Linked DNA regions of Drosophila melanogaster. The protein of the gene in region 1 purifies or fractionates together with the protein of each later gene. This does not show direct contact. Each region holds a gene or a part of one and is shown on either strand. Other genes may lie near its edges.

Region 1 (5,203 bases):
AATTCATCGCGGATGTCGCGGTGGCGAAGACCAAGTATCCCTTGAGGAGCAAGTACATCGGCTACGCCCAGCTCTGTCGATCGGTACTGCATCCAAGGGATAAACTCATTGCAGCCGGTTGGGGATTCGAAGGCGGCGTTTGGGATGAGTCCAGGAAGAAAACATTTCGCTCGATGAAAGTTGGTATTGTGAGTAAACGAGATTGCGAGAAGCAGCTGGATCGCAAGATGCCACCCAATATCATCTGTGCCGGTGCCTACAACAACAAGACTCTCTGCTTCGGCGACTCCGGTGGACCACTTCTGTTGGGGCGGCAAGTTTGTGGCATCAACACGTGGACTTTCAAATGCGGCAACAACGAAAAGCCAGACGTATACATGGGTGTGCGATACTACGCCAAGTTTATTAAAAGAACTATTAACAGAATGGGCTTTTGAAGAAATTTATTTGAGTATCACAAAATAAAAATACTGTCTATCTAAGTTTACAACTTAGTCATAAATTAAATTTTAAACTGGTATTAAGTGTGTGTGACTCGACAGACTTCATGTTATTCCATTTCAGCAGCGTTTTTTATTGTCAATCTCATGAAGCTGATAACCTAGATGTCTAAAATGACTAACTAAACCGCTTCCAATTATTCATGTAGATAAGTTTGGTTTGTTCAAGCTACGATTCTATGATTTACAAGGTTGTAATTGGAAAACAAAAATATACTGATTAAATAGCATATAATAAAATATATGTTCAATACTCAAACAACTAACTTTATATATTTCAATTACATTTTTACATTTGGCTACATTTCAATCTTGTACGTCCATGTACAATTCTACAAATCTGATTGAAGAATGCAGTTGTAGAATGTAGAATGTGGCGCTCTTTGCACCTTAGACTCACGTGCTGTTACCTCATTCTTCGACTCTCTTCTTTCTCTCCCCTCTCTCTATCTTTTCCCTAAGAATTCTCACCAGCTCAGCGAAGCGTAAGATGGGAGAGAAAGAATTGCATTGTTGGCGCCTAGCCGGTAAAAATCATACGATAAAGGGGAAAAGTCGGGAAAAGCGGGAAGACAAACACGCTGCTATGGAAAATATCTTGTTTTGTCCCACAGTTTCACTTAAACTAATGTATTTACGACCTCTGCTCTTCGCGCTCTCTGCACTTCGAGAAATCAGGGAAGATATTGCCGCAATTTTGGATAGTGATTCAAATAAATATACTCACTAATGAAGAGGAACTTAGCATGAATAAATGGTTCGGGTATTCATAGGTTTTCGAATGAAATTTGTTTTTATTGTTCATCATTTAAGAGGCATTGTTTTAAACATAACCAACGTTCTAATTAATAATCTTTATCTAAAGTATTGATGTAATTTGGGTCATGTATTAATGAAATGTTCCACCTGTAAAAAAAAAATAATAACCTGTTTAATAAAATAAACCTGTTTTATAGGGACTCTAAAAATGTATATACAGCTGTGCCCAAGATAACAGCAGCACGTTATTACAACTATAATATTTATAATTTTTAAGAGTAACAAAAGTTTCTTTGTAAAAACTTTTGTATTTTTAGAACTCTGATCTCTGATCATCTGTTTGATATGAAAAATTGTTATACTAAATTCAATACATCACCAAAACTATCTACAATATATTAATCTAAGATTGCAAACCATAATTTTATCATTTCTTATCATGCCAATTTGTAAAGGCATTTTTTTATAAATATTTTTCCGAGTGGAAAACTAATGCGGCCCCCTTTAACCGTAGAGCACAAATTCCCCAGCGGGTCGCGTTCGGTTTCTCGCCATTCATTCAGTTCACGTTGGATTCTCAAAGCGAACGCGTGTCGATCGTTCTGCTCACGAAAAGCTCTCCTCCGACTCTTCACCGGATTCAACCGAATGCGTGACCGATTGTGACTCAGATTCGGATTCAGATTCAGATTGATATAGTGGCTGATAATTGCTGATAGTGCGTGTGTGCGTCAGTGTGTTCAATTGAGTTAAGTTTGGCTGCCAAAAGTTACTAGTTCATTTGCGAAATGAGGGAAATTGTGCATCTGCAGGCGGGCCAGTGCGGCAATCAGATCGGTTCGAAGGTGCGTATAATTGATATTCCATCGGTGTTCGCATCACAGACCTTTGCTCTATTTTATAGCTACTTTTCGCTACTATCCTAACCTCACATGTTTAATTATAAAACAGGGGGAAATGAAGAAAGAGCGCTCTTTGCCTCTCTCACTGCGACTTTCTCTCTCTCTCTCTCTCTCTTGGCTTTTCACGTTTTGTTTTTAGTGGCCAGCAATTAAAATGGGTGGGGGGTTGGTGGGGGGTGGCATAGATTATTTTGCCAGTTCGGGAAACTATAAAACTGCAAAACATTGAAGAAACCTAACGTACTTGGCACTTATCTTATCGCTCGCAAGATACGAATATCAGCAACCTTAAAGTATCGCATTTAAATTACCTTGGACTCGCAGCATATCGCAGTGAATTAAACCCAGAAATCCGCTCGCAAACTAAGCAAAATCACCTCAGTCAGGTGTAAACAATTAGATCGCCGCTCAGTTGAGAGCTTGTGATCAGCCGGCTATGCAAATCTGCACAGCAAGAAAAAAAGTAGTACCTTTAAAAAGATAAATAAACTTTATATGATTATTTAATCGTTATAAAGTAGTTTCCATTTAAACACAATTATGATTTAAAATTGAATTACAGATCCTTTTTATTCATTTGTTATTATAGAATAGAAGTTGATATTTTTTTTTCAGTGTACCTGGAGGTTTCTCGTTTCAAGAAATCCGATCTGTGAACCAAGTATTTTTGGCGGGAACTCAGAGTAAAATGCGGCAGCTTAGTGCCCTGTTAGTAGCATTTTGAAACTGGCTCGAAGGTTTCTCAGAAACTTCCGTCTTTTGGACAATTAACACAACTAACTGGTTCTGTAAACTAGTACTTTTCACAGGCTTTTATGATGTTTGCCCTCGCACAGTTGGCTGATCTTACTGTCATAAAGAACTCGTCGAAGGTTTCGTGGGTACTTCTAATTACGACAGAGGGGCTTGTAAATAATGTATCTGTATCTTGAACCGATATATGTATCTGATTCATGGCTGACTGTGACAAAGTGGCGGGCTTATGTGTGCGCTGCTTTCACTATCGGCGGCCTCTAATCAGTGGGCTTGTTTACACAACTTTAAACATAAATACCCGAAAAGTAAGAACTGATATGGGTTGCGCCGAAAATAGCAATTACATAGTGTGTTCTGGTATTTTGAGTAGAAAAGCGGCAGCATGTTTGCGGGCAATTAGAGGAGTGGAAATGAAAACAGCGCCCATTCTAAGCTAATTCAGCGCATTAACATTAACTCGCACAATTTGCTGCGTCATGAAAATCCAGCTACAAAAAGTCGTTGACGTTTGACACAGTTTTTGTTTTTATAATGCTTATTTTTTTTATATGTTTTTGTCTTTTTCCCGGCATTTCCCAGAGCAGTTTTCTCTGACCGTTTCTCTTTGCGCTCGCATTGCGCGCTTTTCCTCTTGAGTTTTATGCAAACACATTTCCACATATTTTAAAGTACTTTTTTGCGTGTTTTCACCACTGCCTTTTGCAGTTAATTAGAACGCACTTTTCCGGGATAAGCCAAGCCCAACATCCGATTTTGTACGCCCCCGAATCAGAGCATTATTACATCCATATTTTGCGGCCATTGTTATGTGTAGCTATTGTGCAGTTAAAAAATAAATACGATTATTTATGCAATTTGCGCTTATCGAATTTTTATAGATGGCATAAAGCCTGTTTGTTGGTGCATTAAATTTGAATATAATAATGGCGAACATATTTTGTTGCATGTCCTATTCATGCTCTTGTGTTGTTTTTTTTTTTTTTTTTTTTTTTTGCACACTGCCCGATTTTGTGCCTTAATTGAATGTCCTTTTCTGATTAATTGGCTGTCAGTATGAAATATTGTTGCAGCCTAGAATAAACAAATAATAAATGTGCAAAACTGCCTACGTGGCAAAATAGTTTGCACAATGGTGAATGGCGTAAATGGTGAATGTGATTTTTAAATAAATTTTCAAAACTAATTGCTCCGCTGATAAAGGCCAATAAGCAAATAAAAAAAAAAAACTTAACAGATTGATTACACATTAAGAGCAGAGCTTATTCACACATGAACGGGCTGCAAACAGAATGGATTGTAATTATAAAAACAGAGCTTAACAATTGAAATCCCGGCAGCGTACGCATGTTTTGTAAACATAATGTTTTCATTGAATCACGTTAAGTTCAATTCGATTTTAAGGCAGACAGCAATTTAAGCCATTCTCTTGGCTTCGATTAAATATGGCAAAATGCCGTCGAAAACGTCTTCCGGCCTTCCTCTGCCAACACCACGAAATTGATCACATATGTATGTATGTATGTATCGAGCGAGGCAAAGGCATCTATCCAAGGATATTTTGGCCTGCAGCTAGAGTTCGTTTTTCTTTTTCTTCATTATTTACATAAACCTAATTTTCCCTAAATCATTTTGTGAACAATAACAAGGAAAATCTATTTACGGGCACGGCATAAAGCCGAAGGAAAAGCGTTGTGCCACCATGGCGGAGAAATTTATAGACGAGCAGAACGTAGAAAATGGGAGCAAAAGGGGAAAGCGGAGAAAGTCAAGCAAGAACAGACAATAAAATTAAAGAGTGGAATAAGCCAGGCTGCAACGGCTCCTTTTAGCCAGTGTGGCATGCAGTGTGGCACACCCATATAGTCTGCCCCAGGATACGTTTGTTTGGCCCATAATGGCAGGGCATCATCGAGCAGCGCCAAAATAATGCACAAAATTGAATTATCGATGACGCTCGCTGGCAGCCGTAATTTCTTTATGGTTACCCGATATCGAGCCGGGTAACTGGGGAATCGGTCGGATTACATTATGGCCCGGCATTACGGCTTGCCACGTCATAGGTAATGCCATCGCTCGTATGCAAATGCAATTTTCAAGCGGCATTGCATATACATATTCCGATGCTGATGGGTGGGCCAGGATAAACAAGCCATCGTTAACTTAGTTGGCATCTTCCATTCAGTTGGATCAAATGTTGGTGTATTATACTCCACTTGCCAATTGTATTTCCACTTTCAGTCGACTGGGTTTTCGATATCAATGAATGTTGATTAGCAATCGAAGATT
Region 2 (4,467 bases), on another chromosome or scaffold:
AACCCGATATGCACGGCAATGGCTACTTCCAAGTGCCCAAGCACACGCCCGTCATCTTTAGGTTAGTGACTGTGATATAACCTTATCTGCACCATAACTAATTTCTCAAATTTCTGGCTAAATTAAACAGTGAAGTGGGTGGCCGCACTGTTTGCCGACTTTTGGTACGCGACGCAGCTGGCGATAGCGAAAGTACCCTGCTCCACGAAACGGCGCCTCAGTGGGTGACCGACGTGGTGATCGAGAAGAACATTCCCAAGTTCCTCAAAATACCGTTCTTCCTGCAGCCTCACCCGCAAATGACCAAGCCTGAACGAACGAAGAAGGTAGCCGTCCTTGACAGCAAACAAAACTCATGTTCTAACGCAATTTATATTAAATTTTTTAGGATCGTCTTGTGGCTAATGAATTTATTCAGTGTCGCAAGGTCTGCGAGCACGTGCTTGAAAAGGTGCTGAATGCGGAAACTACCCCAAGTGGGGGCAATGCTAACAATTCACTGCAGAATAGCCAGAGCGATGCTAATTCGGAGGGATCCCAACTGCCAGCTGAGGAACGAATTGAACTGTGGTGTAACGATGTGGTAAGACAAATGGACAAATCTCATTTAAAGGACCTTGTTCACCGCCTTTCCTTTAAAGGTTGTGGACCCCAACATGGACCTGCGCACGGTGCGCCACTTTATCTGGAAGCAGTCGACCGATCTAACGTTTCAGTACAAGACCAAACAGAATTTCAACTACGATGGTAAATAAGAGAGCCCACGCATTGAACAACACAAGAACACCTATCACAAACACAACGCATACTTGATTTCTGCAATTGCTATTGCCTAACCGAGAGTTGTGCTTATATATATCCGCCCCATAGGTTCGATCGGGGATAGCTTGGAGCGCGTGACGCGCAAGTATTGAACGCTGGCAAGTGATCTCCCGCCTAACCGAAGCAGTACCGATGCATTATTGAATGAGAACGAGATTGAGCAGATCGATTAACAATTTATATTTTTATAAGTTGATTTTGCAATATATTTGAGTTAACCTGCGATTCGTCTCATCTCTTCTCGACTCGACTCGTGGACAAACACAAACACATTCAAGGAGAATCTGTACGAGCGTTAACTTTAAATTTAAAAGTGCACCGGAGTACTTTTGTTTGTTCACTTCTCGTTAGGAATAAATATGTACTTCAGATTCAGACTTATAACAATTAGGCTTGCGACACACGTAGATAAGCATTGCAAAGGAGTAACTGCAGACATACCATTAAATCGTATTTGCATCTGAAGCAACTAGACCTAGAGTATTGCGCATATATGTATGTATGTAATATTCACACTTGTTTCACATTAGGTTTATACATAATTATTTACATAGAACATACATAGGTATAAGAAATCTGTTAAATATACAGAAAAATCAATGCAATGGTAGTAGCCCAACTTGTAAAGAGCTCTATGCAAGCCAATTTGTACATAAGTAATAAGCGAAAATCGAAAACCAGGATGGAAATCAATTAAAGTTATTAAATTATTTGGAAATCAAGCCTGTCTCTCAGTCCCTAAGATGATTACCCGCCCTCTTAACTAACAACTAGGAGTGTGCTCCTAACGCCGACGTCGCGTGCCCGCCACTCGGGAATAGGACTCGATGCAGGTCAGCAGGCTGAGCAGCTGTTGCTTCAGCGTCGAGGGTATGTGGTATCCGTGGATAATCCTCCGTGGCGCGTTGCTCGTCCGGATCAGCCAGCGGGCGACCAGCCAGAGGCAGTTTTCGCGCAGCGATCTCATCGGAAAGTGGATCAGCACTTCGCTGCGTACGTCAACCAGCTGATCCGGACTCTGCTGGCTCTTGGGTACCCGCACCCGAATCGGCTGAAAGATCCTCTGCGAGCGTACGTGCATCCGTTCGCCCGTGTAGTAATCCCGGAACAGCCAGCTGTGTGTGGTGAACGTGTTCACCCGCACCTCCTCGAAGGGCTTGAGGGTAAGGTACATGTTCTCCCGCTCCCGCTCGCACACCCAGTACAGATCCAGGGTGCGATAGGTGGTGTTTGCAAACAGCACGTACACCTCCACCTTTCCCTGATCAGCGCCCACCAGCTGCTGGCCGTCGCGGTTGTTCTGCGCTATTTGGAGCGCCATCTCCAGCAGGGTGCTAAGCCGATCTGCAATGGCTGCCAAATCAATTTTCGTTGTTTTACGTTTGCACAAGCCGTGGGAATTGGATTGAATCAAATCACAACAAGCTAACAACAAGTATAGATAAAATTCACTTCTTATCAGTTACGGTAACATTTTTCCTGCTGCGTGTCACTGCAGCTGGCCACACTTTCGATGAATGTCTTATCGATAAGGGGTAAATCAGCTGATTTGCCTCCGCCTCTCGCGAAAAGTAAACAAATAAACACCAAGAAATAACAAAATATGGCATTTTGCATAGCAGTTATTGGCAAGGATGTGAGTTTTATTTTTCATTTGAATACAATTAATTGCATGACAAATTCCCCACAGAACGCCCCCCTGTACCTGACCACATCCGATATGGAGCAGGAACTGGAATTGCAATATCATGTTAACGCCGCCTTAGACGTCGTGGAGGAGAAGTGCCTGATTGGCAAGGGTGCTCCGGAGTCCAAGGAGCTGTACCTGGGACTGCTCTACTCGACAGAGAACCACAAAATGTACTTGGGTGTAGTTATGCTGGTGAATTTGCAACTGATTGGTGGTTGATTTCATTACAGATACGGCTTTGTGACCAACACTCGGGTGAAATTCATAGTGGTCATCGACTCCAGCAACGTTGCCCTTCGGGAAAACGAAGTTCGAGCAGTGGGTATCCAATCTAACTATCTAAATGAAAGCCCCAAATACCTCCTACCCTCTGTATCTTCCAGATCTTCCGAAATCTCCACTTGCTCTACACCGATGCCATCTGCAATCCCTTTTACATTCCCGGCGAATCGCTGACTTCAAAGTAAGCGGGCTTCTCCTTAAAGAATATATAAGTTGCTCTTAATACGTTACTTTTATATCTGCAGGAAGTTCGATCGCGCTGTCCAGAAACTGATGAGCGGCACTGCCTAGCTGTAGATTAATACTGAACGAATAATAAAGCGAATTATTTATCAAATGCATACGTCTTTCTAGGAGGGATGTCAAGGTGGCCTGGCCAAGTGCCCGCTCCAAGCTAGACTCAAGAGAGATACGCACCGGAGATACGCAAACCGGTCGTTGGCTGGCTAGCCGTAGCCAAATATTATGCTAATTCGACATTTTTGACAAAAATAATTCGAGAATTAATTATATCTTTACAATGTGTCTGCTAGTTGACACATAGTTAGTTAATGTCTCCGCGTCAAACTCGTCTTCCGTCTGTTTCGGGCATTATTATGGGATTCAATGCGAACTTTAACTGAACGGCAATAACGAGGCACACATAAACATGTATTTTGTCTTATCTAATGCATAATTAATGAAATCAAATCCTACGCGTCTCTAGACTTGAACTTGGGCGCCACCGGCAGAGGTAAGCTGAGCATCAGTATCATATAAAAAGCAGGCAGAAGTTCCAGTTCGATATCAGTTAGCCTTCTCAAGTCTTTCAACAATCAACATGAAGTTCTTCGTAAGTGGCTTTATCGCAAATTGATCCTTTAATGATTCTAGCTGATTTGTTATTTACAATCCTTGTAGATTGCTTTCGCCTGCCTGTTGGCCGTCGCCCTCGCCAACGAAGATGCCAATGTTCTCCGTGCCGAGCAGCAAGTGAATGTTGACGGCTTTGCTTACGCTGTTGAGCTGGACAACTCTGTCAATGTGCAACAGAAGGGTGACCTTAACGGCGAAGAGTGGGTGGTGAAGGGAAGCCAGTCGTGGACATCTCCCGAAAATGTGCCAGTGTCCATCCAATATATCGCCGATGCCAACGGTTACCAGGTGGTGTCTGCCAACCCTCCTCTGCCCACCCCACCACCAATTCCAGAGGCCATCCAGCGTTCTCTGGAGTACATCGCCGCCCACCCCCCAAGTCAATAAATAATGTTAAATAAATGTGTTGAACTTTACTTTCCTAGACTTTTAATTTCTTCCCAAAAGGACTGTCGCTTCTTAAACCGAGTAGACAAACATATATACGCATCGTATTAGCGGACAGAAACTTGTTGGTCAGGGTCTACCAGACGGATGAATTATATTAGTACGTAATATGTATGGGTCTGACAGATGAACATTGTACCCAAACGCCATGCTGCCCCTGAACTCGGGGTCGTTCAGTTTTCACTTTCGATTTAGGATCACTTAGGAGCTGTTACTTTAGGATCACTGTTACGTAATCACGTTTTTTACCGGTTTTTAAACCATATCCATATACACCGGACCTGGTTTTGCGGTTTTGAAATAGAAGTAGACTAGTTCCCATTGCATATTTCAGAATAAGAAATTCCATATATTAGACTTTATTCTATGCA

The links.
Region 2: the proteins of betaTub97EF (region 1) and Vhl purify together in Drosophila melanogaster (affinity purification with western blotting, with the first as the bait; one study listed by BioGRID). This does not show direct contact.

What each region holds. Positions count from the first base shown.
Region 1 is NT_033777.3:27,985,000-27,990,202, reverse strand, and holds the start of betaTub97EF (beta-Tubulin at 97EF), read left to right. Parts: upstream 1-1,818; 5' UTR 1,819-2,047; coding exon 2,048-2,104; intron 2,105-5,203. Other genes in the region: CG4815 (uncharacterized protein), read left to right, coding at 1-437.
Region 2 is NT_033778.4:11,277,554-11,282,020, reverse strand, and holds Vhl (von Hippel-Lindau), read right to left. Parts: upstream 2,297-4,467; 5' UTR 2,144-2,296; coding exon 1,607-2,143; 3' UTR 988-1,606; downstream 1-987. Other genes in the region: CG9062 (uncharacterized protein), read left to right, coding at 1-61, 131-326, 389-583, 642-747, 871-914; CG9067 (uncharacterized protein), read left to right, coding at 2,426-2,458, 2,513-2,682, 2,743-2,830, 2,896-2,975, 3,040-3,085; Cpr47Eg (cuticular protein 47Eg), read left to right, coding at 3,615-3,626, 3,695-4,036. UniProt on the Drosophila melanogaster protein: Involved in development of tracheal vasculature. Probably involved in halting cell migration at the end of vascular tube outgrowth.